4 linked regions of the Drosophila melanogaster genome follow. The protein of the gene in region 2 purifies or fractionates together with the protein of the main gene of each other region. This does not show direct contact. Each region holds a gene or a part of one and is shown on either strand. Other genes may lie near its edges. The genes, in order: yip2, fabp, GstE6 and CG11771.

Region 1 (7,401 bases), on a different chromosome or scaffold from region 2:
ACATCTTTCTTAAGCCGTCTGAGTACAAATGGCTTCATGATACGCTTTGCTCTCTGGATTTGTGTTTCCTGGAACTGTGAAACCTCATCCTGATCTCCATCGCTTTTTCCCTTCTGCAAGGAACATGAAGTTTATATATTGTTTTGTGTGAAACCAATCTTTGTTTTACCTTAGCAAACAACGATTTTATGTCCTCAATGCTCTTGGCAAAGAATTTGGGCATCACGAAGCAGAGCAGAGAGATTAGCTCCAGCAGATTGTTCTGCAGCGGAGTTCCAGTGAGCAGGATTCGCATCCTAGCGTTTATGGTTATAAGGTTAGCATAGCGTTGCGTGGTCATGTTCTTCAGCATATGGGCTTCATCAAAAATGACGTAGTCCAACTTGCAAACCCGGAACATTTTCCTCTCCTCCGGCGTGGATCCCACAATGTGATATCTGTTCAAAATGTACAAGAAATTTAAGCTTAGATTCTTTTATGGCTTTGTGGATATTTACGTGGTCAGAAGAACATCAAAGCCGGTAAATCCATCCTTGGCAAAGCGGCCTCGCATTCTCCTTCGCTCGTCCTGCGAGCCATGGTACTTCTCCACCACCAGTTCGGGACACCAGCGGCTAATCTCTGCCTCCCAATTATCCAGCGTGGACGAGGGCACCACAATTAAATGTGCAGCCTGGCTAAGACCATTCTCCTTTAGATAGGCCAGAAATGCAATAACCTGAATTGTCTTGCCCAGACCCATTTCATCTGCCAAAATGCCATTCATTTCTTGTTTGTGCATTACGGTGAGCCAATTAAGGCCAATTATCTGATAATCAGCCAGCTGTAGACTGCAAGAGGAACGAAAATAGAAACACAAATGGGGACATGCATGCTGGTTAAGGCTCACCCGCTGCTAAGAAGCTTAGGTTGCTCCACAATGCCAGCACCATTGGAAATCGCCTTCTCCAGACGCGACACCATGTTATTGCACTTACTTAGAATAGCGGCCACCGTGTTCTGTTTGTTAATCAGCTCTTGAGCGTAATTCAAAAGATCACCCGACATCCTGATGCTCTCCAGCTTTTGGCGCAAATCAGACCAATCACTAAATGGTCGCACATCAATGATGGCTAATGCCTTCTTCTCGGACAGCGTTTTAACTGACTGGAGTTCAATTAGCGAAGCCTCGTTCATAAACTGGAAAACTTTTTTACGTTGCCCCGTCATCTTGGTGGACATCTCGCTATCGCTGTCATCGCTATCATACACCTGGTCCTTGGACTGCTTCACATCATCGTCGTCCGAATGGTCGTTATCCGAGAAGTTGCCTCCACTAATTCCGTTTGACCTGGGTTTCAGCTTGGACTTGGCCAGTGGTCCATTGTGCCCCTTGGGCTTGCAGTTCTCCCTTAGGTATCGCACGGAAGCGGCCACATCCCAATTGGTGCGGGAAAGAGACTCCTGGATGGCCTACGGAACATATTTGAAATTTATTTCAGTTAAAATCGAGATTTATGCAAAATATTGCATTAAAAATGAGCAATTTTAAGCTATAAAATATTCTGATTAATTTTAAAATTCAAATAAGAACGGTGATAATGTCCGGAAATATTTTATATGAGGCACACCAAAGTAGTGGAAACAGTTACACGAGAGGGTTATTACTGCTCCCATCCCCGTCAGTGACGCCCCTGGCTAACGACAGCTGTTCGCAACGCCGGGCCGAACCGAATCGCCATGTTCCCCGAACTCAGATGCAGAGACGCGCGTTTCCCCGCGAATCGCCCCGTTTTACCTTGGTGGCATTTCGGCCGGAAACCTACCATTGTGTCAAAGTGGGGCGAAATCTTGGCGGCTGCCATGTAGCGCTCCTCCTTTTCCTTAACGGTCAGCTCCAGTTTGGTCTTCTTGGGCGTCTGGGAGTCGTTGCCATCGCTGTCACTATCGGCCATCACCTGGATGCGCTTCTTTCCAGGCACACGCTCTGAAATCAGGCAGTTAGCTACCGTGTCAATCGCTTGGAATTTTAGCTCAGCAAGTACCAGTTCTCGAAGGACTAGCGACGACAGAGGAAGCATTCTTGTTGATGCGGAACTGACGCAGATCGCTGAGGCTCGACTTCGCGGACGATGAGGCGGAGGCCGACGCAGATGCGGCCACTGTGCTGTCCGACATCGTGGGACAAGGCGAAACGCTTCCTGGCAATCTGTCAGTCCTTATTAACAAATTCTGTTTGCAACTCCTACAATCTTAAGTTGGTATTTGTGAATATTCGCATGCTAGTGCGGCCGTTTGATTATCCCGATAAAACCTATTTCTATTTCTCCAACGGAATGCGGTCACACTGTGCGCCAATTTAAGTATTAGCTTAATGATTATTATTATTTTTCATTTATTTTTATCGAACTGTAACGCATTAGTGTAAGCTTCTATGAGATTATCTAACAATTTGCTTTTGTATATATCGTATATGATTTGATTTCGTCAACCTAACCGTAAGTAATTAAAACCGATGCCAAAATGAAAGAAAGAAACTTAAAAAAATCCCAAACTGGCGGTAAATTAAGAAAGTTGCCAGAGTTGCCAGATGTTATCGGCTTACCGCAAGCAATCGGCCAACAATCGAAACATTGGGACGCGTTGCAACCCTCTCTTTTTTTCGCTTGCTCTTGTAGGTTAATTGAAAACACTTTTATTGCAAATAAACCGCTTGCCGAGCCAAGGGCAAACCGATAAACTGGCAAACATGGCTGGCGGCAACACCCCGCGTGTGATCCAGGTGACCAACATAGCGCCGCAGGCCACCAAGGACCAGATGCAGACGCTGTTCGGGAACATTGGCAAGATAGAGGAGATCCGCCTGTACCCGACAATCCGTGATGTCTCCTGTCCGGTGCAGTCGCGCATCTGCTATGTGAAATACACGGACACGACCAGTGTGCCGGTGGCCCAGCACTTGACCAACACGGTGTTCATCGATCGCGCCCTAATTGTCATACCCGTTCTGGCCATACCCGAGGAGTATCGGGCCCTGGAGATGCTCAAGAACGGAACCATTGTGCCGGGACTCCAGAAGCCGGACTCCAAGCTACCGCCCGAAGTCATTAACCGCATCGAGGGACAGCTGCCGCAGCAAGTGATCAAGACGTACGACCCCAAGTTGGTGGAATTCAATCTGCCGGAGTACCCGGCCTTACCCTCGTTCTACGATGCGCGCAAAATCGAGGAGATTCGGCGCACCATTATCGTGTGCGATGTTAAGAACGAGTGGCGGCTAGACGATCTGATGGAATGCTTTCAGCGCGCTGGGGAGGTGAAGTATGCCCGTTGGGCCGAGAAGGATAACAAGACGTACTGCATGATTGAGTTCTGCGAACAGACCAGCATTATTCACGCCCTGCGCATGCAGGGCCAGGAGTTCAAGGGTGGCCATCTAAGCGTCTACCACTCCACGTATTCCATAACCAAGCCGGAGGCAAAGTCGAATGAGGCAGCGCAGGCTGAGATTGAGGAGGCCATGACCATTGTGAAAGAGGCGCAGAGTATGATCTCAGCGGCCATTGATCCGGTAATTGGAATGCTCGCTAAGGACAAGCGCCGCAGGTCGAGATCACGGTCCCGTTCCCGGGACCGTCGCACCAGTCGATCCCGCTCGCATCGTTCCACATCGAGACGCCGTTCCAGGCGTTCCGGTTCCAGAGAGCGACGTAGTGTGTCCCGATCACGCCGCTCTAGGTCGCGTGGCAAGCACTCGTCCCGTTCTCGCAGCAAGCGCTCAAGATCACGACACCGTCGCAGCTCCTCACGTTCCAGGAGATCACGCTCCCGTGGCGGCAAGCACTCTCGCTCCTCAAGGTCGCGTGGCAAGCGCTCCAGGTCCCGCCATCGCCGCAGCACCTCACGCTCACGTAGCTCGCGTTCCCATGGCACCGGTGGAGGAGGCAGTGGCAACGGCAAACGTTCCCGATCCCGCGAGCGCAGCAAGAAGTCACACCGCAGCGAGAAGCACTCTTCACGTTCTCCCCGATCTAGAAGCAAGCGCAGCTCTCCCTCGCCGCCGCCAGCTACCGGCAGTAAGTCACGGTCCAGTCGCAGCAAGGATCCGGTCATCGTTTCCGCCAAGTCATCCCGGCGGCGCGACCGCTCCCGTACTCCCGAAACTCGCAAACTCAAATCCATCTCTGAGGACACTGAGGTTAAGAGCTCACGATCCAGCGCCGATTCGAAGTCACGCAAATCGGTTAGTGTCGAGAAGTCGGACAACATGGACATCTCCAACTCGCCCTAGACCTAGAGAGATTGCATACTACTTTATAATAAATACAGAACTTAAGCAACCCCGTCTCCAGTACAACCCGACACCCATTGTCCTCAATGAGATTTGTATTTCACTCAACTCTGTCATAGTTTTCAAGTATAAAGTCTAATTAAAACTGAAGCATTTTCTTTCGTAATGAAAAAAATAGTACATACAAATATGAATGATATCGGTATCATAGCAGTACAATTTTTTTTAATTTTTTGCCAAGTACGGATTGTTTATTTGGAAACTATAACAATCTTATTGTCTTCTTATTAGGAAAACCCAATACAAATGCAAGTTAAATTAATAAAAAACTTTCTAATGAAGACCAACTTTAAAACATTGTATGATCAACATTTTGTAAGGAGTACTTAAGTATGCAAAATTGCTTTGATAAATATACATTAAGAACGCATTAAAGAGACTTGTATTTAAAAACTAGAGGATTGATTGAGTTTCATCAAAAATCGAAATTCAGCGATGGTGACTAATCGTCACTAAGAACAAAGGAAGGAACAAACTGCAGCTAATTTTGCACAGTGTATTCTACAGCTGTAATCGGTGGGCTTGTCTCACTTTGTTTGTCAGAGAGCGGGGTAAAGCTTTTCGAGCTTTCATCCAATAATATGTCGGCGATGGCGGCGAATCGCGACCAGAAGTCGAAAGTTATTGCAGTGCGATAGTCGCCTTTACTTGCATTAATTTATTTGTTGTTTTATTTAAGAGTGAACCCACCTTAGAAAATGTCTGCCGCAACCAAAGGTAATTATGTGAATCCTTTAGGATATGCCTATGCTGTTGGAAGTCTAGATAAGAGATGATCTCGCTAGAGAGATCTGAACTTTGGACTCGTTGGTGTCTTATCTGATGCTATCCCCCCCCCCCGCGTCCAGCCGGTTGCACTTTGGACCTGTTGAATCGAAAACAAAAATCCGCCTTCGTTCGAGCTAAATTTGTGCTATCACTACGCACATTATATATGTTATACATATGTTCGTATGTTTCTTCTCCTTTGTAAAGGTATCTATATTGTGGCTGCCAAGCGTACGGCCTTCGGAACCTTCGGTGGATCCTTGAAGGGCATCAACCAGACCCAATTGCAAACCACGGCGGCCAAGGCTGCCCTGGATGCTGCCGGTCTTAAGGGTGAGCAAGTGGACACCGTCATCGTGGGAAATGTGATCGCGGTAAGTTGGATTGAAGATCCTAAAATAGAAACTCTTAAGGCGTCGGATTAAAACAATATTAAGATGTTATTAAACTAAAAGAAATATGTAAATGTGATAAAATACTTGTACATCTGGTTATGTAAATTAATTTACTCGATATTTATTTGTTATTATTGCTTAATTGCAAACTCAGTAGATCAAAAACTGGAACTACATGCTTATATTATGTTTTTTTGTAACTTGTAAGTCTTAAAAATCTCTTCTCTTCCACTTCGCAGTCCTCCTCCACCGATGGTATTTATGTGCCCCGTCATGTGGGTCTCAACTGCGGTGTGCCCATCGAGAAGCCCGCCCTTGGAATCAACCGGCTTTGCGGTTCCGGCTTCCAGTCGATCGTAAACGGAGCCCAGGACATCCTGGTCGGCGGTGCCAAGATAGCCCTTACCGGCGGCGTGGAGAACATGTCACAGAGCCCTTTCATTGCCCGTAATGTGAGATTCGGAACCACCTTGGGTGCCAGCTACAATCTGGAGGATGCTCTATGGGCTGGCCTCACCGATACCTACTGCAAGCTGCCCATGGCTCTGACCGCTGAGAACCTGGCCGATCAGTACAAGATCAGTAGGGAGCGTGTGGATGAGTTCTCTCTGCTCTCGCAAAAGAACTGGGAGAAGGGTCAGAAGGAGGGAGCATTCAATGCCGAGATCACACCCATCAAACTTAAGGTCAAGGGAAAGGAAGTGGACTTTGTGGTGGACGAGCACCCACGTCCCAAGACCACCATCGAGGGTCTGAACAAGCTGCCTTCGCTGTTTAAGAAGAACGGCGTTGTGACTGCCGGAACAGCATCCGGAATCTGTGATGGTGCCTCCGCAGTGATCGTGGCCTCCGAGGAGGCGCTTAAGGAGTACAACCTGAAGCCTCTGGCCCGTCTAGTGGCCTTCTCCTTTGTCGGAGTCAAGCCTGAGATCATGGGCATTGGCCCAGTACCCGCCATTCAGAACGTCCTGAAGGTTTCCGGCAAGAAACTGGAGGATATTGATCTGATTGAGATCAACGAAGCCTTTGCTGCCCAGACATTGGCTTGCGCCGATGCCCTGAAGTTGGATACCTCCAAACTGAATGTGAACGGAGGCGCCATCGCCTTGGGCCATCCTCTGGGTGCCAGTGGCTCTCGCATCACTGGTCATCTGGTTCATGAGTTGCAGTAAGTTTCCGTGGAAATTTACAACCTGTCATAAATTGATAATTATATATTTTTTCCAGGCGCAAGAAGCTAAAGTACGGCATTGGATCCGCGTGCATTGGTGGTGGTCAGGGCATCGCCCTTCTCCTCGAGGCTGTCTAATCCTACAGCTTAATGTAATAGGTGCCCTGCATTTACACTTAAATTAGTGCTGAAAATTCCGTTTTAAAAATACCCCGATAGCAATAAAGAAATTATTTTATCTTTACAATTTATTCAATCAGCAGCGAATGGAAGTTGATCAGCTTTCTACAAGAAAGACAAGTTGGTGTTTATACTATAAAATTTCTATGCTCGCACTGCTGGAAACGCCAATGGGACGGGGGTTGGCGGATGAAGGACCAGCCCGCTGTACCAGGAAATCTCTTGAAGGGCCTTACATTACGAGTACATGAACATGGGATGACATGGCTGCACATTCGCTCAGTTCGTCTGTGCGCTGGTGGAGAAGAGCGACAGAGCGCCGCTGGCGATGCCCACGGAAAAGATGTAGTTGATGAACGGCGTCGAGTTCTTCAGGATAAAGAAGCTGATGAAAATGATAACGGCCAGGTAGATGGCGTTGTTGTAGAAGATGGAGAAGGTGGTGGCCTCGTAGTCGGCTACCTCGTTCTTCTTCCACAGGATGCGCTCGTCCTTTTCCTTGCGCGTGACCTTCTTGTCATCGCCCACCTGACGGTTGACCTCGCGGGTCACCGCCT
Region 2 (10,740 bases):
GTCACAAAACTAGAAACTATTGCAACAGTCGACTAGGGAACAATGGGAACAGAGGAAAATGCACGAGTGGGTTTTTTGGGGTAGAAGGATGAACTAAGTAACTAAGTCGCCAAGCCGAATCGCCGAGTTACACCCACACCTTGTTGAACAGATCCATGAAGGAGTCGTAGATCATAAAGGTGATGGCCACATCCAGGCACACACGACCTAATCTTGGCACGGTGCCCTTGTAGAAGGCGGCGGGACCTTCGTTCTTCAAGATCTCCACCGCACAGTGGGCAGTGTTCTTGTATTTCGATGCTTCCAGACCCTGCATCCTCGTCTTGACCACATCCAGCGGCGTATTACCGAACACAGAGGCTGCTCCGGCGATAGCTCCAAACACTCCAACCACCAACTTGGGCACTGGCTTCGTGTGATCGTCACCCTTGTACAAATCCTTAAGGGACTCCAGTACGAAGAAGCGAATGGCCTGGTTGGAGCCCTGTTTCAGAATGGTGGGCGTTAGGCCCTTGTAGATACCAGAGATGCCCTCCGACTTGATGATTTGGCCAACGCCGTGGGCGAATCCCCTGAACTTGGGATTGCCGCTGCGCTGATCGTTGATGAACTTCACCTTGATGGTCTCCATCGGGGTCACTGCCACGATGGCCTCACATACGCCAGCTCCTAAGCCGCAAAGCAACTTTCCGGAGTTGCTCAGTTGTCCTCGGGAGTCCACGGCGTTCGATTTCAGGAATTCAAAAGCACCGAATCTGAAAGTTATCTTTTAATCAGCAAAACATGAACTATAACCAAAAGTTATATAACTTACCTCGCCGCTGACTTAGGAATGCTGCCGTAGACGAGCACACTGAGACCTCGGTAGAGACCCAGGAATCCACGTTCTCCCACCGTCTTCTTAACGCAATCAAAGATGCCGTTGTACTTCTTCGCCGCTCCCTTCTCGTCCAGCTGCAGTTGTGTCTTCACATACTCGGTGGGATAGGTGATGCAGATCTCGATGCCGCCCGTAATACCGCCGGCGACGATGCCCTTAAGGCCCACCTGGCCGCTGTCCGCAGCCGCCGCTCCGTGCTCCGTCATCCACGGACGTCGGCGGTACGGGCTGACAAGGGACGCGAAGGCGGAGCGATCCATGCTGACTGGGTGTTAGGTGGGGAATTAGCTGAAAGAAAATAGTAGAATTCATTTATTGTACTGAGTGAATTCCAGCTGATTTCTGTCCGATTGAATGTTATTTATATCCTATTGTTGTAAATGGATCAAAATAGACTCGTTCTGCGTGGGTGCGCGGATTTCAAAATATTCCCCAAAACTTGTATGAAAATATGGCATTTGTTCTTCATAGATAATGATATCTGAAGTATTCCTTATCATCTATTTAAACAATTTAACTATATCTGTGACGTACAATCGTGAACCGCGTATCTATGCGAATATCGACCTTAATTATCGTATTAAATGTTTGTTTAATTGCAGTTCTGCTCTACTAGTTATGCAATTTCTATGAGGAAAAGAATTCCACTTGGCTGGAATGGCTCCAGCGGGCTCCAATTTAAAGTTAGTAATCAATGCCATTATCATAGGTAACTTCCCATTGTATCGTTGACTCTCTTTTCCCCCAAAACATATTCATTTCACCTTGGGGACAAGGTTCGAAAACTGTGAACGAAGAGTCGACAAACTAACACAAACAGAGCGAAAAACCAAATGTTCGAAAATCTCAATAGTGATTACTTAAGATCGGGTGATATAGTCTGGGACGGTTTGAGTGGGAGCGGTACTATATCAATATCAGCAGGCTCGTTGGTTGTTTCGCTCTTTGCACTTGACAAATTAATATTGTTTCAGTGCGATTACATAACTTTTGCATGACCATAAATTATAATCGCACACAGTTGCAAGTTCATAATTATTCATTTTATGCCGCTGTTTAAGCCAATTTCCGTATCGGTCTGGAAATCTGGATAAACATAAACAATACCCACTGATAAGTCGGCACTGGAAAGTTTCTACCGACTTCCACACACACACACAGACTTCAAAAGCGGTTGATTAAGCCCACACCCACACACTCAAAGCGCACTGCTGTCTGGCAAAAGTCGCGCTTAATTTTTGCTCATGCAGCTTTGCTATCGGGTATTGTTCTCTACTACTCACATTAGAATTCAAAAAACCGAAATAATTATAATTTTGGAAAGCCCAGGCAGCGGTGAAGTGAAGTGGCGATGGGGACAGCGGTTGAATCTCAACTGATCGGGGCTACGAAAAAATTCCATTTTCCAATCGACGAGCGAAAGCGATACAGTGCATCCCGGAACTAACGGACTTTGGATTTTCAGATCCAACAGTCAGCAGTCCGAACAACTCTATCCCAATAGATTTAAAATGGTAGATTCTTCTAAATATCAAACTTTTTGTAAAATAAATTGAATCGATAGACTGAGCACGCTATTCTCTATAGTTCACTGCATCAGGGGCGCACTGTAATTCCAATGGTCGGCGTTTTGTAAACAACAGCACTTCAGCGGTATCCACTCTCCCCGCGCTCAGTAATGTACACAGTAAAATATTTCTATTTTGAAAATCAATCAGAAATTGAAAATAAAAGAAATGATACGTGGATCTATCTAGTAAACGATCCTAAACGAGTAACATACACATACATCAGTTCGATCCTAATAATGGAATATTAAGTTTCTAAAGATTGATTCCACATTGATAAAGGTATTTTGATAGCTATATAAGTGCGTTTCGATTACTTTATGGAGAACTTTTTTCTGTGCAGAGAGTGCGAAGAGTAGCGCCAAAGTAACGTTTTTTTGCTGACACCGCAGTGAAGATCTCTCTTTCTCTCTCTAATCGGAAACCCGTTTGTCCAGCAACAACAAAGTGGACAGAGCTTTTGGGGCGGACTGGAAAAGCTCCGCTGAAGAACAACAAGAAGAACATTTGACTTTAAATTTTGAATGTTAGGTACGCCGCAAAGTAGACCAACATTTTTTCTTTAGCGATTACACAATGAGTTCACACACACACAATGCGCGTAGCCTACGCACACCCACGCGGTAGTTTTATCCAGGTTATCAGAGCATTTAGTGCTACACTAATAAAATCGATAACGGCGCTTTTGCTTTTTAATTTATAACGCCCAATTGACCAACAATTAAGTGTCTACTATTTACCGACTGACGCAACTCGGCGTCATGCGGATACACGTAGTTCTAACGCCGCCGGCAAACGACGAATGTTAACAAAAAAAACCCGGCGAAAGTGTGGCCGTGCTGCCAACTGTCCGCTGATAACGTGTGCGCTTGCGCCAGCCCCCAAATGCAGCAGATGCCACCCACCCACACTTGTGGCACGCACTTGCAACAGACCCCATTCACACGAACAGTGCAAAAGCCCCAGCAGCATTGTGTTTTATACTCAATTAGCAAGAGCAAATGCATCGCAACGGAAACGGAAACGCGTGGGCAGAACATCCGCAGCCCAAAAGCAAATCAGAGACCATTCAGACTTGTGCCTCTTCTCTTTATACATACAACTTCAATAAACGATACAATAAGAAACGATAGTAAGAAACATGCTTTCTATAACCCCAAAGGTGGAATTTCTTTTAACAGTTTGAAATTTGAAACTTTATAATTCATATCGATTCAAAAATATGACCTCCAATTGAAAATGTAATTGAATTTGGTATTCTCGATCCCTTTAGCCATTGAAAATATGACACCCTACGAATTTCGGGATCCTTAACGATAACTTTCAAGCCAAACTAAAATATCTGGCATTGTTCGCCTCACAAACAAGCCACTTAAAAATTCTTTTTTAGGTAGGAACTAAAATTATTTCGATGAAAACACGTTACTTGCTTACTCACAAAACCGTAAATTTGGGAAATAGTTGGAAAAATGCCAAAATATAAATTTATAACTAAAACTAATATAATTTTGATTGCTGTGTCTAAGCTTACATTTCGTCATTAACCTAAGCAACAACAAGCTTAAAAGCGAAGTGTAAAAGAAAGTCGGAATGTTTTAAAAGCACTTCAAGTAATAGTTTATTCAAATGCATTCGGAAATTGGTCCCCGAGTACGAGGAGTATTCCCACATACACCGACTGCGGGTGTACGGGTGCGATTATAAATTAACATTGGGCAGAGCGTGCAGTTCCATTTGATTTGGTTTAGTTCACTGTTAGTCAACAAGAATATTGGCTATCTGAGTTAGTTTTAATGCATGTAGTCGTATGGATATTATAGTTTTAGATCAGTCTCTTAGACGGCCTTGTAGACGCGCACGCACTTAACGTTGCCGATGGTGAGGGTCTGTGGGGGAGGCATTGGATCAGTTAGGTGGGTGTGATGATATACGGCAAGGTATAGTAAGCGCTTACGGTGATCAGCTCGTTGTCGGTGAACTCGCGGACGATGGTGGTGGGCTTGTCGCCCTTCTGCTCCTGCGTCAGCTTGTTGCCATCCAGGGTGATGATGCTCTTGACGTTGCGACCGTCCAGGGTCTCCTCGTCGAACTCAACGCCCAGCTTGAAGCTGATGGCAGAGGTCTTGAAGGTGGAGGTGGTAGTCAGGGTGTAGGTATCGCCCTCCAAGGTCACCTCCACTGTGGGGCTCAGGCTGTTGCCCATCTTGCGCGTCACCAGACCGACGCCTGCAAGTGGAAAGGGAAAAGAAATTAATGAAGTTCCATCTCACGAGAATGTAAGGAAATCAAAGATCGCACCGAAAGATGAATGATGGGGCAGACTGCACATAATTGAATTAGCCCAACAAAGTTGGGGACCCCAAAGCGCTCACAATGCAAATCATATCATATTTAATTAAAAATAATAAAGCCGAGCCATGAAGTTCCCTGCAGATTCCGTTCCGCTGTAACGTCAAAAGTCGTGCTCAAGGTTAACGAACAATGCGGGCCGTCGTCTCCTCCCTCATCCTCATCTCCGCTCTTATCAATTGGCAAGCCCCTCCATGCATTTAAATATAGATCTGGCAAAGCACCACCTTATCTCGGTGCAGCATTCCATATATACATATGTTGTTTGAGGGCAGAACTGTGAATATAAATGCCATTCAAGCAGTGTAAATATATATTTTACTGGCTTAAGTGGTCAAGATCCATTTTGCTGACGTTCCAAATCGTAAACCTTTGAAGTGCTGATAATTACCATCGAAAGATAAGCAAAGCAATTCCATCATTAAATGATAACTTAACGATTGTGAACAATCAATCGTGTTTAAGTACTAAAATTTGTCACTTAATTTTATGGGACTTGTAATTACTGAAATACTATATGCATGCACGTAGCTGTATGAGTAATTTTGCATTTATATTTTTATTTGAAAGAAGTTTCGCCAAATGAAACGTTGAATCAAAAACAAAGTGTGAATCACTGGTACCTTACGAATGTGCCAGCAAATAGGGCACATGTATTATTTCCAATCTAGTACATTGTCAGACATCAAACCAACAAGTGGTCCAATCAATTATGTTCAATTATGTATGGACCACCACCAACTTGTTCTTTTGTCCAGTGCCCTCAAGTCAAGTGTCAACTGGCGTGGCGCGATAAGTCGCCAGGTTCCCACTCATGGGAACCCAGCAACTGTACCAGAGATCGATTTATATGCATCGTATATGACAGGAGAACCTTGAATAGATTAGACTGGCCTGCAATTGCGAACCGTGGTCTATGATAGGGGTGGCTGCCCAAAGTGCAAAATCCGTAATCGCGCCTAATTATCGTGCCTTTTGCGACATTGTATATACTACAAATGTGTGTACATAAATAGGCATATAGTTTATCGCATTTATATATGTACGACAACTGATAAGTGCTGCGAGGCCCCAACGGCAGGTTGATTTTAGATTTGTTTGGGCTTGAAAATTGAGAAGTACGTGGCTTTCGGACCAAGTCTACCATTAAACCGAAGCCGCAAAGTGTGTAGGCGAAAAGTTCTGACGAACTGGTGGTCTGGTAAATAAATCTGGACGCCCGTCTCTGGTTACCAAATGCCACTAGTCCCTATGGCGCGTCTAGACAGGAAGCGATGGTATTGATCAGTTTTAGTGGCACCATATAGTATAATCACGATTGCAATAGAAATTGCACTTTGATCGGTAAGAGAGTCGAATGTGTCCTATATGTAGTTTATATCTGGTGTTTCATTGTTGTCTAAATTGACAGCCGGGCAAAGATCATCGCAGCTATAAAGCTTGTAGTCTAGTGCAAAGTTCACTGCGAGACTTTCTCCCAAAATCTAGTACACAAATAGATAAAACCTGTCGCAAAAGCTAATGGCACTATGATGATTTCGGTCCCATGGAAAGCTGACGGAGGTGACTCAAAAAAGGGGAGCAAAGTTCAGGCCCCACACTTAATTAGTTTTTGGGTTTATGACTACCGCAGATAACCATTTACGGATTTTATACTGCTTGTCCTCCGATTCGCAACTGTAAAGTTGAGAAAGAGGGTGAGGTGAATAACTGGAGCACGTTTTTATTGCTGCAGATGTGCATCTCTTTCTCTGGTCCTATTCTCTATTGATTTTATCTGACACACACATACGCACATCAGCAGATTCAATGAGGTGTCAATTTATGCATGTAGCTAAACTATTTTAACAGTCGAATTCATTCATAATCTTCAGTTGATATAACATTTTCCGGAAGACATTTACTTTTTTCCCTCTCGTTTGGCCAATGAAACTTTTTGCACACTAGTGCGAAAAATGCCGGCCGGTCGATTTTCGGTGGCGTGTTTTCGGCTTCTTTTCTCTCCCTCCACTCCCGCTCTCGCTCTCTCGAGCACTTTGGTTTTCTATTTTTGATGCACTGCGAATTAGTTTTGGCAACTTACCCAGCTCCTTCATGTACTCATCGAAGTTCTCGGACTTGTCCAGCTTGTACTTCTTGCCAACGAAAGACATTTTTGGAATATTTGGTCTGTGTTCTGCACAAGATGTTCACTGTTGAAATTTTCTGAGCGAATGAAAAGCTCTGCGGCGTGCCGGCTGTTATATACTTTCGCGTTGCGGCTACGGCATTGCCAGATGCAAGTTAATGGCCTCTCGCTCTCATTTGATTCGCTCTCGTTCTGCGGCACGGCTTTTGCACGTTTCCTTTTTGTTTGTCTCACAAATTAAAAATTTAATGATGTGGCATCGGCTGAGCATCGGATTACCAGATGCAAAGCCAAGTACAGCCGCCAAGGTATCGAAATGTCGGCGCCAAGCCGTTGGCGCTCTTACAAAAAGCAGCTTTTTTAGGCGCTCTCCAAAAAAAATATTAACGGTTCTATGGGGGCCACCACTCCCCCTCACACCGCATATTGGTAATGGATCGGACGTGTTACTGCCACCCAACGTCTGACCAGCTCCTCCTGCTCCTCCCAGCACCCAAGCACCTTCACCTTGGCGCGATCAATTGGCTGCAGCCTTAATTGGTTCAAAAGCACCGGCCTAATAACGAACGCCACATTGTCATGCTGACAATGGAACTGCAATGTATCTCGCATTATACAGTCAAAACTTGCCTATTTTGGCGCGAACTTTAAACTTTTCTCCGAATTTCAGATTACGCATTGGGAAACCCAATGTGTGCAAGTAAGGAAGGGGAATTTATTTGAAACCCAGACTATCTCACTTTGTAGTACAAAATTATTATTAATATAATATCAAGATTTAAAATTTTAACATACATACACACGTATATTTTATTTAAAAGGATATCCGTTATCCAGGTTTCTGAGTCTCGACTGTTCGCCCCCCATATATTCCGAATTAGTAGACTTTTTTCTGTGGGTCAGTGGCACCATTAAAAGAATCTCCCGAGCTTCTACATTTTACCAATGTGTATAAATAATTTTCGACACAATTCGTTTATATTATTGTTATGAATAACTCTTGATAAGTCGCCGGTGAATTGTAATCTAATCGAGGACTTCCTTCCACCCATGGTCAGGCAATGCAATATTGAGATTACCCACGATCTCCATAAGCCTGCCCATCCCGTGGGAGGGCCCACCTACATGGATACCGACTTGTTTGTTGCTAAGCGTTATCTTATTAATTCAATTAGTCCATGATCCCGCACCCCCCTCACCGATCATCCTTATTATTGCATTGATCGTCATAAATAAAAGAGATTACGGGGGTTTGCCACGAAACATACTTATGTACATAATATGTACTACATATATTATTTATGTATACCAATAATAAGTAACGTCTTGATCAATACAAAATATGATATACTCTCAGTATATCTTTATATATATACTTCTTAATGTGTATTATTTACTGGAGTGGAAGAGCCAGTCGAGCTTTTTTAGTTTCGCCAGTGACTTGAATTTGACCGACGAGATGTGGGCCCTCCAGGTCAGTCCCCGATTTAGATGAACTCCTAGGTAGCAGTGCGATGTGACATTGTTTCCATCAAAAGTCAGATCTGTGCAAGTTCCGGGCCGCAGGGTAAAAGTTACACAGGCTGACTTCGAGGAGTTAATGGCCACATTCCATTTGGCAGTCCATTTTTCGACTGCATGCAGCCATTCCTGGACTGCGTTGAAGAAACATGCATTTAGTCATTCGGAAACTTTAAAGCCCGAAAGTATGCAGCACAAAATCGTAATATCAACTTTTCAAAAAACCTCAACTAACAGCTGCGCTCAACTAGTGCGGTAAAGTAGTTAATAATAAAATTTGGATTTGTAATGGAATGGACAAATAATGAGACCGTGCAACAGCTGTTGCGTTTGTAAAACTTTAGATACAACATCTATTATCTGATCCTAACTTTATAACTACAAAGTCCAAAGAGTCAACAGCTTTATCGGACATGTTAGAATAATGTTTGCCAGCACCATAAAAGTGTCGTATCATTGTTACACGTTGGTTACTACTGCAAAGTGTCGCGCAAAACGAGGAAAATATAAGTTAACCTGCTTATCACTAGTCTCACTAAAGACTAAACAAATAACCCACAAACAAAAGAGATCGAGAATAGTGCTATGAAAGAGCGATATAAAGAGAGTGGCAAAGAGTCTAGTGTAATGGAGAGCCCACCAAGAGCATTGGAGAGCACCCACAAAGAGCGCTGATCTTAACCTGGCACAACACCTACCCAGAGAGTGACATGTATTTAAGGTGGAGCCCGAGAGCGGATCGGGTCAGAACGAGTCGGACCTTCGGAGCGAGCAGATAGTCGTGGGTAGAGTAGCGCGCAGTGCCATGTGTACTTCGATACGTTCGCGATAAGTAAGATGTGCTATGAACTAAATCACATACGAAATACAAGGCAATCTATGACGAAATACGCCTGCAACAGATAGAAATACCGAATATCTCCGCGTGAAGTGATCTTTTTTGGAACCGTGATCTCGCAGCAGCACTTCTTCCAATCCGAATGCCACGCAATATTGAAGTCTGCATTGTGCCAGTGGAAAAGTTTACTTCCCGCAAACGTGAATAGAAATCGAATTCGTAGATCGGAATCTGAAATCGCTCGCATTTCCATCTGGTTTCTCCTCGGCTAATGCCAAACTAATTATATTAAAATAGAGCGCGTGTCCCCTTTCGTATCGAAAAGTGCTAATCAACCGCCGTCGTCCAAAGGCAATCCCGGTGACCGAGCAAGTCCCCTGTACTTGTAATGCTACACTCTATATAGTGCAATTTAGCTCCAATCAGTGCAATCAGCATGCAGTCGATGAAAGCCGATGAACTGCCGGAGAATCCACGGGAGCGATCCAGTCCCCTCTCGTCACTTATGTTCTGGTGAGCGTAGAAATTATATCTTTCTGGGCATTTCGAGACTAAATTTTTATTTCTTTTTAATTAAATGGTTTGTCCAACCATCTCATTGCAAAAAGAATAGAATATATATATGTATATGTATGTGGGTTATAAACTTAATAGCTCTAATAGAAACCAGTTTACAAGTCTATTAATACACATATTCAAAGATCATGGCATTGTTAGTAAACTAAAATCGAACATTTTTTTTCGGCGCGATGATAAGAAAAAAGCACCCATTGATGACTAGTTTAGGTGTTATTTATTCATGTGCTTTGTTGTGTGTGTGTGTGTGGGGGGGGGGGATTTGGGGAGCATATAACGTGACAACACTGACAAGTTGATTATTTCATTCAATGGTTCGCTTAATTCGCGTGACCGAGGCGACAAAATCATTTTGCATTTCACGGGAGCTCGGATTCCCATTCAATTGGTTACCAATTGAGGGCGACACTTAGCTAAGATCCATTTTCAAAATTATTCCAGAGGAAATCTAACAGCGCTAGGTACAGAACTAGATATCCAAAGGGGAAAAACTGCTGACAAATGTTATGAATCATTGCGATAGAACACATAAACTTAAAACGCAACAAACTAATTTTGATGTACAGCTTCTGATAAGATTCCTTTTTGACATAACAGAATTTGTTTATCTTCGGCTAACGTATAGAGCTTTTATTTTTTGTTTATGTAATGTAATTATTTAATAACATATAAGATAAGGAACTCTGAACTGTTCTTTTGTGTCCGCGTATCGTAAGATATAGATTCATTTGCGTCAGCAAATATGGATGCTGTGAAAATGTACATACATGTACTCTTTTATTAATAAAACATTCGGTTTTACTGAGATAAGTACGGTAGTTATTAAAATTGAACTTTGTATGGGTTTTGCGCAGTTGCATAGAAGTTTAATTATTATTTC
Region 3 (5,993 bases), on a different chromosome or scaffold from region 2:
AACTATAAAATTTATGGAATTGAAACTTTGCATTATTAGACTTATCACAAATGGAATATGATACATTTACGCAAAACCAAGGCATGTTGTTTAAAAAACTCTCAAAGTATTTTATCAAGAAAACTCAATGGAAACAATTTTCTCGTACTTTGGTCCCAAAGTCCCAAACGGATCGGTTTCTTTCTTTGGAAGTAGTCTCCGATGCACTGAGCTTAAGCCCATGTGAAATACTCACCTAACAAATCCTTGATGACAAATTGAGAGACCAATTGGAGACCTTCCTGGCGGACAATCCCTACATAACCGGGGAAACTCTGACCGTTGCTGATTTTTGCTGTCAATCTCTGCCAGCTTTTGTTCCCCTGGAGTCGGATAAGTATCCGAAGGTCACCGCCTGGTTGAAGGTGTTGCCCAGGAGTTGCCCTACTACGAGGAAGCCAATGGGGTGGGGGCCAGGAAGTTCGTGGACTTGCTGAAGGGCAAACTGAGCCTTCTATAAGAAGCATTTCCCACAATTATCGAGTTGCTGCATAAATTTTTAATACTCTGCTAATTAAAGAAATTTGTTGACAAACGTTTGGCATTGACCACACTCGAAGAAAAACCCATGTAGCAGCAATGAAATGCATTAAATACACAAGTTTCGTAAAATGTTTTAAGCACGATATAATCAAAAATATTATTAACTTTGCTATGGCGGTAAACTCTAATACGAAACTCAAATATTGGGCCATATGGACTAACGTCCTTATTTTTACGCCAACTCATTGCTGCAATTTAAGTGTAAATAATTTAATTTAAAAAAAAAAAATGTTTCCTGGGGACGTGGGTTTTTGGATTCCGCTTGTATGGTTGGTTGGGGTGGGCGGACTTAATTAAAAATCCATTGACAGCTTGGCAGTTTCCCAGGGCCGGCAGGTTAGCTATATAATCGTCCTGCTACCGTACTGACCACTCACTTGTAAGTTCGCTGGAGAATGGGTAAGATATCGCTATACGGCCTGGACGCAAGTCCGCCAACACGGGCATGTCTGCTCACCCTGAAGGCACTGGATCTGCCCTTCGAATTTGTGTTCGTCAATCTGTTCGAGAAGGAGAACTTTAGCGAGGACTTCTCGAAGAAGAATCCACAGCACACGGTGCCACTGCTGCAGGACGATGATGCCTGCATCTGGGACTCCCATGCCATCATGGCGTATCTGGTGGAAAAGTACGCGCCAAGCGATGAGCTCTATCCCAAGGATCTGCTGCAGCGTGCCAAAGTGGACCAATTGATGCACTTCGAGTCGGGTGTCATCTTCGAGTCTGCCCTAAGGAGACTCACCCGTCCGGTGCTCTTCTTCGGCGAGCCCACCTTGCCCCGCAATCAGGTGGATCACATCCTTCAGGTCTATGATTTCGTAGAGACCTTTCTCGATGATCACGACTTCGTGGCCGGCGATCAGTTGACCATAGCCGATTTCAGCATCGTATCGACCATCACCTCGATTGGTGTTTTCCTGGAGCTGGATCCGGCCAAGTACCCTAAGATTGCCGCCTGGCTGGAGAGGCTTAAGGAGCTGCCCTACTACGAGGAGGCCAATGGCAAAGGAGCTGCCCAGTTCGTGGAGCTCTTGAGGTCCAAAAACTTCACCATAGTTTCGTAAGCACTAGTCTTGATTTCGACAGTAAATGGCTTAACATTTTAATTGGAAATTATCGCTTTCACAGAATTGATATTAGCAAACAAAAAAAAATGTTCTTTGTTTTGTGTTCAAATTATGCAATTAAATAGGCAAAGCACCCCCCTAAAAGGTATTGTTATTACTTTTAGTTACCTGTGGGCTAGTTTGCCTGGTGGTTAGTTTATCTGGGGATTAGTTTCTGTATTTTTCCATTGTTCTATAGAAGTTGTTGCATGACATACAATACCTTATCCACTTGTTCGAGGTCTTTAACATGTTTACTTGAATCATGGCAAACCAACTTGATAGCTTGTTATCAACAATCACGAAAGTATTATTTGAGTGAGTCAGTTCTAGATTGTTTTCACGAAAGTACTTAAACAATTTCGATTATCGTTCGACGAACCGTTAGACCGTATCAAATGATTGCATAATTTAAGCAGAACAGTATCTACAGAATTTGTAATTACACAAATTTTTAATGTTTCATTGAAACTTATGTTATTCTCTACACGAATCAACTCTTAAAGGACCAATCAACAAGAACCAACAAAAATTCTCTTAGAAATGTCTCTTAGCCATGCTCTCTTAACCTTTCCATTTGGTAACAACATTTGTACGCGCTCGATCCCAAGAATCAGTCAGTAGAGAACGTTAACTCAAAGTGCAAACATGGTCAAGTTAACTCTATATGGTGTGAATCCCAGTCCACCAGTTCGTGCCGTCAAACTCACTCTGGCTGCCCTCCAGCTGCCCTATGAGTTTGTAAACGTTAATATTTCGGGTCAGGAGCAGCTTTCTGAGGAATATCTAAAAAAGAATCCAGAGCACACGGTGCCAACACTGGAGGATGATGGTAACTACATTTGGGACTCGCATGCCATTATCGCGTATCTGGTGTCCAAATATGCAGATTCGGATGCCCTGTATCCCAGAGATCTGCTCCAGCGAGCTGTGGTGGATCAACGACTGCACTTCGAGACAGGAGTGGTTTTCGCCAATGGCATTAAGGCCATTACCAAGCCGTTATTCTTTAATGGCCTGAACAGGATTCCCAAGGAACGCTACGATGCCATTGTCGAGATCTATGACTTTGTGGAGACCTTCCTCGCTGGACATGATTACATTGCTGGGGATCAGTTGACCATTGCCGATTTTAGCCTGATCTCGTCGATTACCTCGCTGGTGGCGTTCGTGGAGATCGATAGGTTGAAATATCCCAGGATCATCGAATGGGTCAGGCGTTTGGAGAAGCTGCCTTACTACGAGGAGGCCAATGCGAAGGGAGCCCGGGAGTTGGAGACCATTCTAAAGTCCACTAATTTCACCTTTGCAACCTAGAGTTCTGAAATTATAATAAATAATTTGGAAACTTGTAAATATTGCGGTTTTTTATCTCTTTATATTTTAGATTTAAGAGAAATATCGCTGTAGGAAACAAGAGAACTTAGTTAGTTCCATTAAAGTAGCAAGAGAATGAAATGTGTATTAAGTACACAGAGAACCTATTACAGAATGTCGCTACATACATAGATAATATATATATTCTTGCCGGCAACAAACATTTTCGAGGGCTTTCCATTTTATTAACCTCTGTCAGCATGACTTGTATTTTCTGCCCGAGTACTGTGTAATCATTTTCACATATGATAAGCGGTTATCACAGAATACTTGTTGTTCTATGTTTGTGATTCATATAGTGCTCTCATATGTTCGCGCTAAAATACTTTTAATCAGTTTTTTTTTTATTTTAGATGTTGGGATAGGTTAAAAATAAACATAAAAAGAAAAGTAAAGTGAGTTCAAAAGAGTAGGAGGATACTTAAAAATTTGGGTTTGTATGACCAAAGACACTAGAATATTCTAGTATGACAAAGATATACATATGTATGCATGATTAGACATATATTCACATTCATACATATTATTATTGACTTGTAAAGTGCAGTAAATATAGAGATTTTTTCAAGTACACGGAATCTCTCTTAAATTTTCTCTTTCATTGATCCCAAGTTTTGTATATTATATTAGTTATTCGGCAGTTATGGGTTAGTTTGAAAAGAGACCCCACAGCGACAAGATGGTGAAATTGACTTTATACGGTTTGGACCCCAGTCCCCCAGTTCGCGCTGTTAAGCTTACTTTGGCCGCTCTAAACCTAACCTACGAATATGTAAACGTTGACATTGTGGCTCGTGCCCAACTTTCACCGGAATATCTGGAGAAGAATCCACAGCATACGGTGCCCACCCTGGAGGATGACGGTCACTACATCTGGGATTCGCATGCCATTATTGCCTATTTGGTCTCGAAATATGCCGATTCCGATGCCCTATACCCGAAAGATCCTCTCAAGCGGGCTGTTGTGGATCAGCGGCTGCACTTTGAATCCGGAGTGGTCTTTGCCAATGGCATAAGGAGCATATCGAAGTCAGTGCTCTTCCAGGGACAGACGAAAGTACCCAAGGAGCGATACGATGCCATTATCGAGATCTACGATTTTGTGGAAACTTTTCTCAAGGGACAGGATTACATTGCTGGCAATCAACTGACCATTGCGGATTTCAGTCTCGTTTCATCGGTGGCCTCCCTTGAGGCCTTCGTGGCCTTGGATACGACTAAGTATCCCAGGATCGGTGCTTGGATCAAAAAGCTGGAACAGCTTCCATACTACGAGGAAGCCAATGGCAAGGGCGTCCGCCAGTTGGTGGCCATTTTCAAGAAGACCAATTTCACATTCGAAGCATGATATTATTTTACAGTTTATATAGTCACAATAAATAATTGCTTAGAAAACTCTAGAGCTTTTGAATTTTTGTGGTGAAATAATTGATTTGGACACAAATGAATAGAAGAGGCGAGAGCAAAAACCTAACTGACTTTCTTATCTACTGCTCTCGCTTCTCTTAATTACTCTCTTTCGAAATTCTATAAATATAGTGACTCTTCGCTGTTGACGTTTAGTAATAGACGAGACTCTACCCAGCGACAAGATGCCCAAATTGATACTGTACGGCTTGGAGGCAAGTCCACCAGTTCGTGCCGTCAAATTGACCTTGGCTGCCCTGGAGGTTCCCTACGAATTCGTGGAGGTAAACACTCGGGCCAAGGAAAACTTCTCTGAGGAGTTTCTGAAGAAGAATCCACAGCACACGGTGCCCACGTTGGAGGACGATGGACATTATATCTGGGACTCACATGCCATTATTGCCTATCTGGTGTCCAAATACGGCAAAACGGACAGTCTCTATCCGAAAGATCTCCTCCAGCGTGCTGTCGTGGATCAGCGATTGCATTTCGAGTCCGGAGTGATCTTCGCTAATGCACTGAGAAGCATTACCAAGCCACTTTTCGCCGGTAAGCAAACGATGATTCCCAAGGAGCGTTACGATGCGATTATTGAGGTCTATGACTTCCTGGAGAAATTCCTTGCTGGAAATGACTACGTCGCCGGCAATCAGCTTACGATTGCCGACTTTAGTATCATATCAACTGTGTCCTCGTTGGAGGTCTTCGTAAAGGTGGACACGACCAAATATCCTCGGATAGCTGCATGGTTCAAGAGACTCCAAAAGCTGCCCTACTACGAGGAGGCCAACGGCAATGGTGCTCGTACATTTGAGTCCTTCATCAGAGAGTATAATTTCACTTTCGCATCGAATTAAATCATCTATACATGCTGCTAATATATATTAAACACTTTATAAATAAAATAATCGTACAGTACAAAAAATAAACAAATAGAAAATATACATATAAAAATACTAAAGAGCACCTCGCCAGGTTTTTGTCAACTCTCTTGCGAAAATGTGTCTCTTTAACGTTCTCTTTCCAAATCAAATAAATATGGCGCCTCTTTGGCTTCTACTTTTAGTACTAGGCTCAACCTCTAGACGGCATGTCCAAGCTGATTTTGTACGGGACAGAGGCTAGTCCTCCAGTTCGGGCCGCCAAATTGACCTTGGCCGCCCTTGGCATTCCCTACGAATACGTCAAAATAAACACCCTGGCCAAGGAGACCCTTTCGCCCGAGTTCTTGCGGAAGAATCCCCAGCATACGGTGCCCACTTTAGAGGACGATGGCCATTTCATCTGGGACTCACACGCAATCAGCGCATATCTGGTGTCCAAGTATGGCCAGAGTGATACTCTTTATCCGAAAGATCTCCTCCAACGCGCTGTGGTGGACCAGCGATTGCACTTCGAGTCCGGCGTGGTCTTTGTCAACGGACTGAGAGGCATCACCAAGCCGCTCTTTGCGACCGGTCAGACGACGATTCCCAAGGAGCGTTACGATGCCGTCATAGAGATTTACGACTTTGTAGAGAC
Region 4 (8,060 bases), about 13 Mb from region 2:
GGCTGTCCGGACATATACTAGACAGCAGTAGCCAACGGAGCAGCCAAGGGAGCAACTGCAGCCACTACCACACATAGCAGCCTTAGCGAATATTCTAAAGTTTTCAGATATCCAGCCTCCACACACAACTAACACACCACAGCGGGACACGCTCCGACTGATTTCGGAGCAGCACATACGCATATTGTAGTACCACACTTTGATCTAGAGCATATTTATATATATATATATATATAAATTAATTCCTGTAAACTAACCAAGTTTAATCCATACCCCTGCGTCGAAATGTACTTTGATTATTTCTTCCTGACTACCGGTTAACCATTTCTAGTGGCTTTCCAACAGAAGGCCAAGACAGATGATAGCTCTTAATCCTCGGTTTCCATCCAAACCCCTAGATGTCTTTTTCCTTTCCGCTGAATGCATACTTCGCCTTTGTTGTGTATATAAATATATCGAACCGAATCGAGAGAACCGAGCAAGAAGCGAGAGAATATGTTAAATGTTATAAATTTATGCAATTTATTATTAAAGTATTATTTAAATAAAGCAACAACGTGTGTGTGTATGTGTGTTCAACTGGGGTAACTGACGATGTCGCCTGGCGACACCACCTGCACACCTGCGATAAGATCCCGCCTGACTCACGCGATCGCTATCACATCCGGCTGCCAATTAGGGTGTAGATCGAATTGCCGACTAATAAATCGTGGAGGCGTAAAGTATAGAATTCTTGTTTTAATAGTTACACTTCCAAAATTTATAAAGCCCTTATCAATCGTTTTTGGTTTTCAGTTTCCTGGCTGGGGTCATTCAATTACGGCTATACTTTCTTTTAAATAAGTACAAGTGGGATCTTGACCAATAAACAAATATTTAACAGAATACATTTCAAAACTATTTTAAAATATTTTCCAATACTCCAATGCTTACTTTCCTATAAGGTTGCCACTCGTCGGGCCTCCACAGGCTGCCATCGATCAGCATTTGTTGACTACACACAATAGATAACGTTTTAGCGGAACAGAGGGCGACCCTCAGTTGTTATCTGTGGTCTGGGAGGGTTCAAATATGTCCAGCGACTTTAGAAGTGCCTCGGCCGACGGGTCGCGACCCTGGAAGCGACGGAACACTTCCGCCGTGGGCACAGATCCGCCGCAGCTGAGGAAGGTCTGCTTGTAGCGCCGGCCAACGACCGCGTAGTTCTCTTCGCTTCGCTGCTCAGCAAAGCTGCTCGAAATGTCGGCGGCTATGAGGCGGGAATACAAGTGACTGAACTGGGCGGCCGCCCAATCTCCGGCAAAAATGTCGGTCAGGGAGCACGGATGTGCGTCCTTCTTGTCCAGCGGCATGCATTGATAAACCGGCCACAGCTTGCGAACCACCTCCAGCCAGAAGGCATTCGAGCGGTGCAGCTCCACGTCGAGATCCGCCAGGTAGAGGTCCTGGCACAGATTATAGCCAGCCAACTGAGTCTTCAGCAATCGCATCTTCTGTGAAAGCTCAGCCTCCAAGGGCTCACCGCTGCTAAAGTGTCCGGATAGGCTTCGAATCACTGTGGGATCGTCGAGGAAGTTGCTCATCACATGACCGGACACTTGAGAGGCATCCCACTCGATGTTTGAGAGTCCCGCCAAATCGCTGTACCCCGCTTGGGTGAGCAGGTGTTGGAGTCCGCTTCCAAAAGTCTTGAAGAGCATCTGCAGATCATCGTATCCAAGAAGCGGGGGCTTGGCATCCGGACTTTGTGGCTCCGAAAAGTTAAATATCAGCGCACAGAGAGGCGTCAGCCCGGCAGACTTATTGCTGTTCCGTATGCCCACCATCCAACCATTGTTTCTGCCGAACTTGTGCTCCTTGGAATAGCAGTCCACATAAAAGCCACCCACCGGGGTGGAGCTATTGACGGAATCAGCATCGAACACATCGTAGAACTTAACTGCCGGATGCCACACCTCCGCATTGGGCTGCTCAACTATTTTGATGCCGAAGAGCTTTTCACTCAGCGCAAACAAGCCGGAAAGAACGCGGGGCAGTGGGAAAAACTCGCGGAGCTTCTGATCTTGGAGACCGTGCTCCGCCGCCAGTTGCTTGCGCCGCCAGTAGGCAACGTCGTAGGCTTCCAGCTTGTATTCACAGCCACTGTCCTGAGCGAAGCCCTGTAGTTTCTCCAGCTCCACACTTTGAGCAGGGCCGGCGAACTTGAGAAGCTTGGCAAAGATCTGCTTAAGGTTGTCCACACTGCCCACCATTTTGGTCTGCATGGACATGTCTGCAAAGCTTTCATAGCCCAACAGATTTGCCTGTCGCTTGCGCAAACCGCGTATTTTTTCGATGTGTGTGCTGTTCTCCAGGGATTTTTCCTGCTGCGAGGATGCCTTCAGCACACTGGCCCTCCAGACGTTCCAACGCTGCATTCGCTCTGGGCAGTGCTTTAGAAAACCATCGACCACTTGAGGCTGTAGGGTTATCTTCCAAGGACCCGTCATAGGTTGTCCGGGATCGCGGGCTGTTGCCTCAAGAAGCGAAGGCGGGAAATCTCTTACAAGATTGAAGTCCGTAATAATCTGTCCAAACGAGTGCACTGCCATGTTGACCTTGTTCTTGAAGTTGGCTCTCTCTCGACCCAAATGGGTAAGCAGCTCTTTCAGTCCATCCTGCTTATCTTTGTCCAGCGTGAGCCCGTTCAGCTTGCCCTCGAGCAGGAACTTCTGTCGCATCCTCTGCTCATCTGGACCCGAATCGGACGAAGCATCCTTGAGTGCCTTATACACCGTTTGATTGCAGAACTTCGCTGCCCGAGCGTTACGCGCTCGTTCGTGGATGTTCATGTAGGATTTGGTGGGTATCAGGGTAGAATTGCCCAGGTACAGAGCCTTGGCCACACCCCATGTCGTCTCCAGTGGACCCGTCACGGTGTCCAGCTCCCGAAAGATGCTGGCGGCATTTAGCTGCTTGCCACTGTGCAGGTCGCTCTCCAGCGCCTTCACCGAGTTCTCCACCGCCGATGCCTGCTGACCAATGGCGCCCAAGCACATCTCGATGGTGATGTCACTGAAGGCGGGAAGTCCGTCCGGCTTGAGCACGCCCTCGCCTAGCGGTCCCTCCTCACCGATCTCCGGTACCCTGCGGGGATAGGTTTAGTGACTCCACATGTTGAATCCGGGTAATTTTCGTACTTACAGCACTATGTAACCCGGCCGGTTTTCCGTTGAGTGCAGCGGAGCGCTAAGCGCGGCCCGGATGAGGGGCACCGACGTTGGGCGCCTTCGTAGGAGATTTAGCATGTCCTAGGTGAAGTCGTTAATCCAGATATGTACAATTCCGGACAGTTTGCGCCGGAATTTGGGATTCTGAAATGGGGGCCAGCGTTTACACAACACGCCTGGACCAAAAAGCAAGTGACAGCGGCCAGGGTTGCCACCATCAGCGGTGGAGCCGGCAGTGATGCGAAAATCACACTTTACTGCAGTCACTGAATCCAATCTATCCTAATCTGTGACTTCTCTTTTTTTTTTTTTTTTTTTTTTTAATTTTTATTATTTATTGAATCTTCCCTTTGTGTTAAGAGACTAACAATAAGTGTTCAAATCTTAATCTAACTTAATTAACTTTCACTTAGTGATAGTTTTTTTTTTTTCATTAATGCCCTAATAAGTTTATTGCTGGGCTGGGAGGTCGTTGCGGTGCAGCCGGCTTTGACTGCATACTCGGATTAGTTTTCTTGCGAGGGGATTTGTATGGGTGGTCAGCTTTTCGTTATACTTCGTTTTTTTCTCAGCTATTACTTCGATTACTAATTTGATTTTTAGGTCTCTGTGTATGTTTTCGTTCCGAAGGTACCACGGCGCTCCAGTGATAATTCTCAGAATTCTTGACTGTGCTCGCTGAATAATGTCTATGTTACTTCTGGATGCGTTGCCCCACAGCTCGGAGCCATAAGTCCAGATAGGTTTTAAGACGGAGTTGTATAGAAGAGCTTTGAACTCCAGACTAAGTGGAGAGCGAGCATTTATGAGCCAGTGGAGGTTCCTTGCTTTAAGTTTAAGATGTTTCGATTTGGCTTCTATATGTTTGCGCCAAGTGAGCCGCCTGTCCAGATGAACTCCCAGATATGTTACCTCGTCGGCTTGTGGAATGCATATGTTATTCAAGACCAGTGGTGGGCATGTTTGTTTGTTTAAGGTAAAGGTAACCTGCTTGCATTTTTGAACATTTATTGAAATTCTCCAGTCGGCAAGCCATCGTTCTACAGATGTTAAGTGTCGGGATAGGAGTGCCGTGGCTTTTATTGGGCATTTCGAGCGACTGAGTATCGCGGTATCATCAGCGAACGTGGAGGTTGTTAGATTGTAGTCTATGGGGAAATCCGCCGTATACAGGGTGTATAAGATTGGACCCAGTACACTGCCTTGCGGCACTCCAGCTTCGATTGCGCAATCGCGTGAAGTGCTTGTATCGCATCTTATTGCAAACACTCTGTTATATAGGTATGACTTCAGTAGCTTATGTGTGTTTTGGGGCAACAGCTTGATTATTTTAAACAAAAGTCCATCGAGCCACACTCTGTCAAATGCCTGCGCGACGTCTAGAAAAATGGCTGTGCAGTATTCTCGATGTTCAAAAGCAGTACGAATTTCTGACGTGATTCGGTTGACCTGTTCGATGGTTCCATGTTTTTCTCTAAAGCCAAATTGATGTGTTGGAAGTGTGTTGTTTATTCTAAGATGAGGGCTAATCCGAAGGAGTAGCATTTTTTCAAACAGCTTTGAAAGACATGTTAGTAAGCTTATCGGTCTATATGATGATGGCTGCGTTTTATCTTTTCCTGGCTTTGGAATCATTACTATGGTCGACTTTTTCCATTTTTGAGGGAAGTATCCAAGCTTGGCGATTGCGTTGAACAACAGGCAGATGTGAAGAATAGCACACTTTGGGAGTTCAATGAGCATTCTTGGAGTTATTAGGTCGTAGCCAGGCGATTTTCTTGGGTTCAGTTGCTCTTTGATAACCTTTGCTAGTTCACATGGTCGGAATTCAAAGGGTTCTTGAGGATCTAGATTGGCTGCTATTAAAGGAGGGAGAATAAATGTGTTGGTAGAGGGATTTGGTCGGAATACATTTTGTAAATGGTCAGCGAAAGCACTGGCTCTTTCTTCATCACTTCGAAACCAGGTGCCAGAGGGACTTCGTAGTGGCATAATTGGCGCTATTGGAGTCTTTAGGTTTCTGTGAGCTCTCCAAAGAGGGTACTTAGTGCTGGTGGGAGAGAGTTGCTCGATATATGAACGTTGGCTGTTTTTTTCCTCTTGTTTGAGAGCATTGGTAAGCCTGCGTGTGGCTATCTTAAGCATGTGCTTAGTAATTGGTGATCTATTAGACTGCCAATCCCTTCGTAGGCGTCGTTTATCTAATACCAGCCGCTCGATTTCGCGATTAGTTTTGATGTAGTTTGGTTTTGCATACGTCACTGGCGGGGTTGAAGCCTTTGCAGCCGAAACTAAAATGTTTTCAAGAGTTTCCGTTGACTTGTCTATATCCTCCTTTGTAGATAATGCCGTCGTTAGTTCTATGTGTGAACAGACATACTTTTGATACCTTGGCCAGTTTGTTCTAAAATTTGTGAGTCTATACGGTGGGTCGACGATGTGGGGGCGAGTTAGCATATTTAGAAAAACAGGTGAGTGATCTGATGATAAGTCTGCTAGTGCTTCGGCGGTGACCATGTTGCGGGGGACATGTTTAGTAATTGCAAAATCGATCAGGTCTGGGATTTTTCTTGGGTCTGCTGGCCAGTATGTAGGCTTACCCGGGGATACATAGTCTAGCTTGTTTTCTGGCTTCGTAAGCGCATTGTACAATTGCTTACCCTTTGGCGACACAAGTCGAGATCCCCAATGGGTGTGCTTGGCGTTATAGTCACCCGCTGCGATGAACCTGTCACCTAGTGTGTTAAAGAATTCCATGAATTGATCCTCAGAGATTGGAAAGCGCGGTGGGCAGTAGACTGCGGCTAGAGTCGTTGAACCATTGTTGAGTTGTAAGGCTATGGACGTAGATTGTAAGTAGTTTTTGTCAAAATTGTTTAAGTGGTGGTGTTTTATGCGATTTCTGATGAGTATTCCAGTGCCTCCATGAGCTTTACCATCTGGATGATTTGTACCATAGAACAAGTATCCTGGTATATGAAAATTGTTTTTGTTTGTGAGGTGCGTTTCTGATAGTAGCATTACGTCGATGTTTTTTTCGTAAATGAACTGTGTGAGCTCTTGTGTATGCCGTGAAACGCCATTTGCGTTCCACAGAGATATCCGTAGGGAAGCCATTATGGGGATTTTGAAGATACAAGAAGTTGAATCAGGATATTTTGGTTTTTCATGAGCTCTTGCAAAGTATTTTGCATGAACGTCATGAAGTCTTTCATGCTTTGCTGTAGGGATAGCATCATAGCTTCGATGCCACTTTGTTGTGTTTGTTGGATGTTTGTCGGTGTATGTTCGGAATGAGCAGTTCTTGTCGGTGGGGCGGGCACTTCTAGTCCGGATTTTAGGGCGCTAGCGAAAGAAATTGTTGGAGTAGTGCTTGGGACAGTTAGGGGTGGTTGAAAAATCGGTTGCGGAGAGTAGAAATTGACTTTGTTGTATGTATGTGCTGTGGCAATACGTTTGTTTAGGCGGCTCTTCAATTCTTTGTACACCACACAGCCTCTGTAGTTTGCAGTATGTTTTTCCCCGCAGTTACTGCATTTCTTCACAGACTTATCGTCCTTGTTTTTGGGGCAGTTTGCGGTAGTATGAGGTTCGCTACAGACAACACATACGGACTTAAGGGTGCAGTATGCCTTGGTGTGGCCGTATTCTTGGCAATTAGTACATTGAACTGGATTGATACGTTTGTGCGGCTCCTCCACGGTGATCCTCCGATGTAGCAAGTACTGTAAATTGTATATTGGGTGCACTTCGTTTTTCTTTAGTGCCTGGAGCTCTGGTTCGAGTTCTATTTTGAATAGTGGCTGCGGAACTTTGTCTTTGTTTAAAATATTAATAGCTGTCTTTGCAGAAAAGTTTTTGGCCTTCAGAGCCTCAATTATCTCAGCTGGTGTCACTGTTGCTTCAATGCCCTTAAGTACTACCTGTAGCCCTTTGCAACTTTTTAATTGGTATGTGTAGTAGTTTTTACCAGCATCATTTAGGTATTTAGTCACTATACGGTGGTCTGCTTCTGTTTGGATCTGTAGTTTTATTTCATGAATATTTCCTTTTTTAAGTGGGATAATGTGGAACTTGCTGTCACCAATCAAAGCAACGAGTTTATTTACAAGTGCATTTGTACTTTGTTCTCGTATGAAAATTGGTGGAGGCCTGGTCTTTTTTGGTTCCCCTACCGTTTTTTCGTTGGGTTGTTCGGTCGCAGAATCAGCCAAGATAGCATATCGGTTTGAATTATTTACTGCAGAGTTTTCATTGCCGTTGTTGGTTCGATTGATTTTGGGTTGATTACCTGCCTTATTGTTTTGAGGGCTGAGCTTTCTCTTGATTTGGATGTAGCGATCCATGCCAGTCTGCACAGTCGAAATCGACTTCTGCTTTTGTTTTGATTCTTCTTTACGTGCATTATTGTTGTTGCAAACGGTCAGTGCTGCTGAATTATTTACAGCTGGCACAGCGATAATTAGTTGGGCCGCTGACGAAGTTGATGTTGTGGCAGTTGCCAGTGAGGTCACTGCACTCGTTATTGCAGTGTTACAGTTACCCGGGACGGTCGTTTGGCGCTGCGAGAGGAGCGGGGTAGGAGAGGCGGTCTCTTCGCTCCACGACTTGTGAGCCGAAGCAGGCAGAGAGGGAGAGCAAGAACGCGGTCTGTCGTTCGCTGAGGGCAAAAGTTTCGAGTTAGTTGAAGGTGAGGTTGCTCGATCACCGATTTGCGGTGAGACGAAAGAAAAGTATGCATTGTTGCGTTGTAAAGAGAGCCGGCGCTCGTCTTGTTCACATTGTCGCTGAGAACGTATGTCGTTTTGATTCATTGTTCTAAGTCCACATATAACAATTACCAGAACAATA

The links.
Region 1: the proteins of fabp (region 2) and yip2 purify together in Drosophila melanogaster (affinity purification with mass spectrometry, with the first as the bait; one large-scale study listed by BioGRID). This does not show direct contact.
Region 3: the proteins of fabp (region 2) and GstE6 purify together in Drosophila melanogaster (affinity purification with mass spectrometry, with the first as the bait; one large-scale study listed by BioGRID). This does not show direct contact.
Region 4: the proteins of fabp (region 2) and CG11771 purify together in Drosophila melanogaster (affinity purification with mass spectrometry, with the first as the bait; one large-scale study listed by BioGRID). This does not show direct contact.

Annotation. Positions count from the first base shown.
Region 1 is NT_033779.5:9,910,320-9,917,720, forward strand, and holds yip2 (yippee interacting protein 2), read left to right. Parts: upstream 1-4,933; 5' UTR 4,934-5,028; coding exon 5,029-5,047; intron 5,048-5,305; coding exon 5,306-5,472; intron 5,473-5,732; coding exon 5,733-6,661; intron 6,662-6,720; coding exon 6,721-6,802; 3' UTR 6,803-6,901; downstream 6,902-7,401. Other genes in the region: Etl1, read right to left, coding at 1-113, 170-437, 498-830, 890-1,452, 1,806-1,966, 2,025-2,157; Srp54 (splicing regulatory protein 54), read left to right, coding at 2,729-4,270; CG5885 (uncharacterized protein), read right to left, coding at 7,124-7,401.
Region 2 is NT_033777.3:11,560,038-11,570,777, forward strand, and holds the start of fabp (fatty acid binding protein), read right to left. Parts: upstream 7,018-10,740; 5' UTR 6,951-7,017; coding exon 6,881-6,950; intron 5,075-6,880; exon of another isoform or gene 4,778-5,074; coding exon of another isoform or gene 4,747-4,777; intron 4,675-4,746; coding exon 4,403-4,674; intron 4,335-4,402; coding exon of another isoform or gene 4,284-4,334; exon of another isoform or gene 4,021-4,283; intron 3,256-4,020; exon of another isoform or gene 3,063-3,255; intron 2,260-3,062; exon of another isoform or gene 2,164-2,259; intron 1,169-2,163; coding exon 1,037-1,168; coding exon of another isoform or gene 815-1,036; intron 756-814; coding exon of another isoform or gene 128-755; 3' UTR 1-127. Other genes in the region: sea (scheggia), read right to left, coding at 128-755, 815-1,140; Mrp4 (multidrug resistance protein 4), read left to right, coding at 9,721-9,797.
Region 3 is NT_033778.4:18,402,298-18,408,290, forward strand, and holds GstE6 (glutathione S transferase E6), read left to right. Parts: upstream 1-3,713; 5' UTR 3,714-3,744; coding exon 3,745-4,413; 3' UTR 4,414-4,464; downstream 4,465-5,993. Other genes in the region: GstE4 (glutathione S transferase E4), read left to right, coding at 978-1,646; GstE5 (glutathione S transferase E5), read left to right, coding at 2,337-3,005; GstE7 (glutathione S transferase E7), read left to right, coding at 4,658-5,329; GstE8 (glutathione S transferase E8), read left to right, coding at 5,563-5,993.
Region 4 is NT_033777.3:24,927,360-24,935,419, reverse strand, and holds CG11771 (uncharacterized protein), read right to left. Parts: upstream 3,411-8,060; 5' UTR 3,288-3,410; coding exon 3,184-3,287; intron 3,127-3,183; coding exon 1,038-3,126; 3' UTR 501-1,037; downstream 1-500. Other genes in the region: Osbp (oxysterol binding protein), read left to right, coding at 1-21.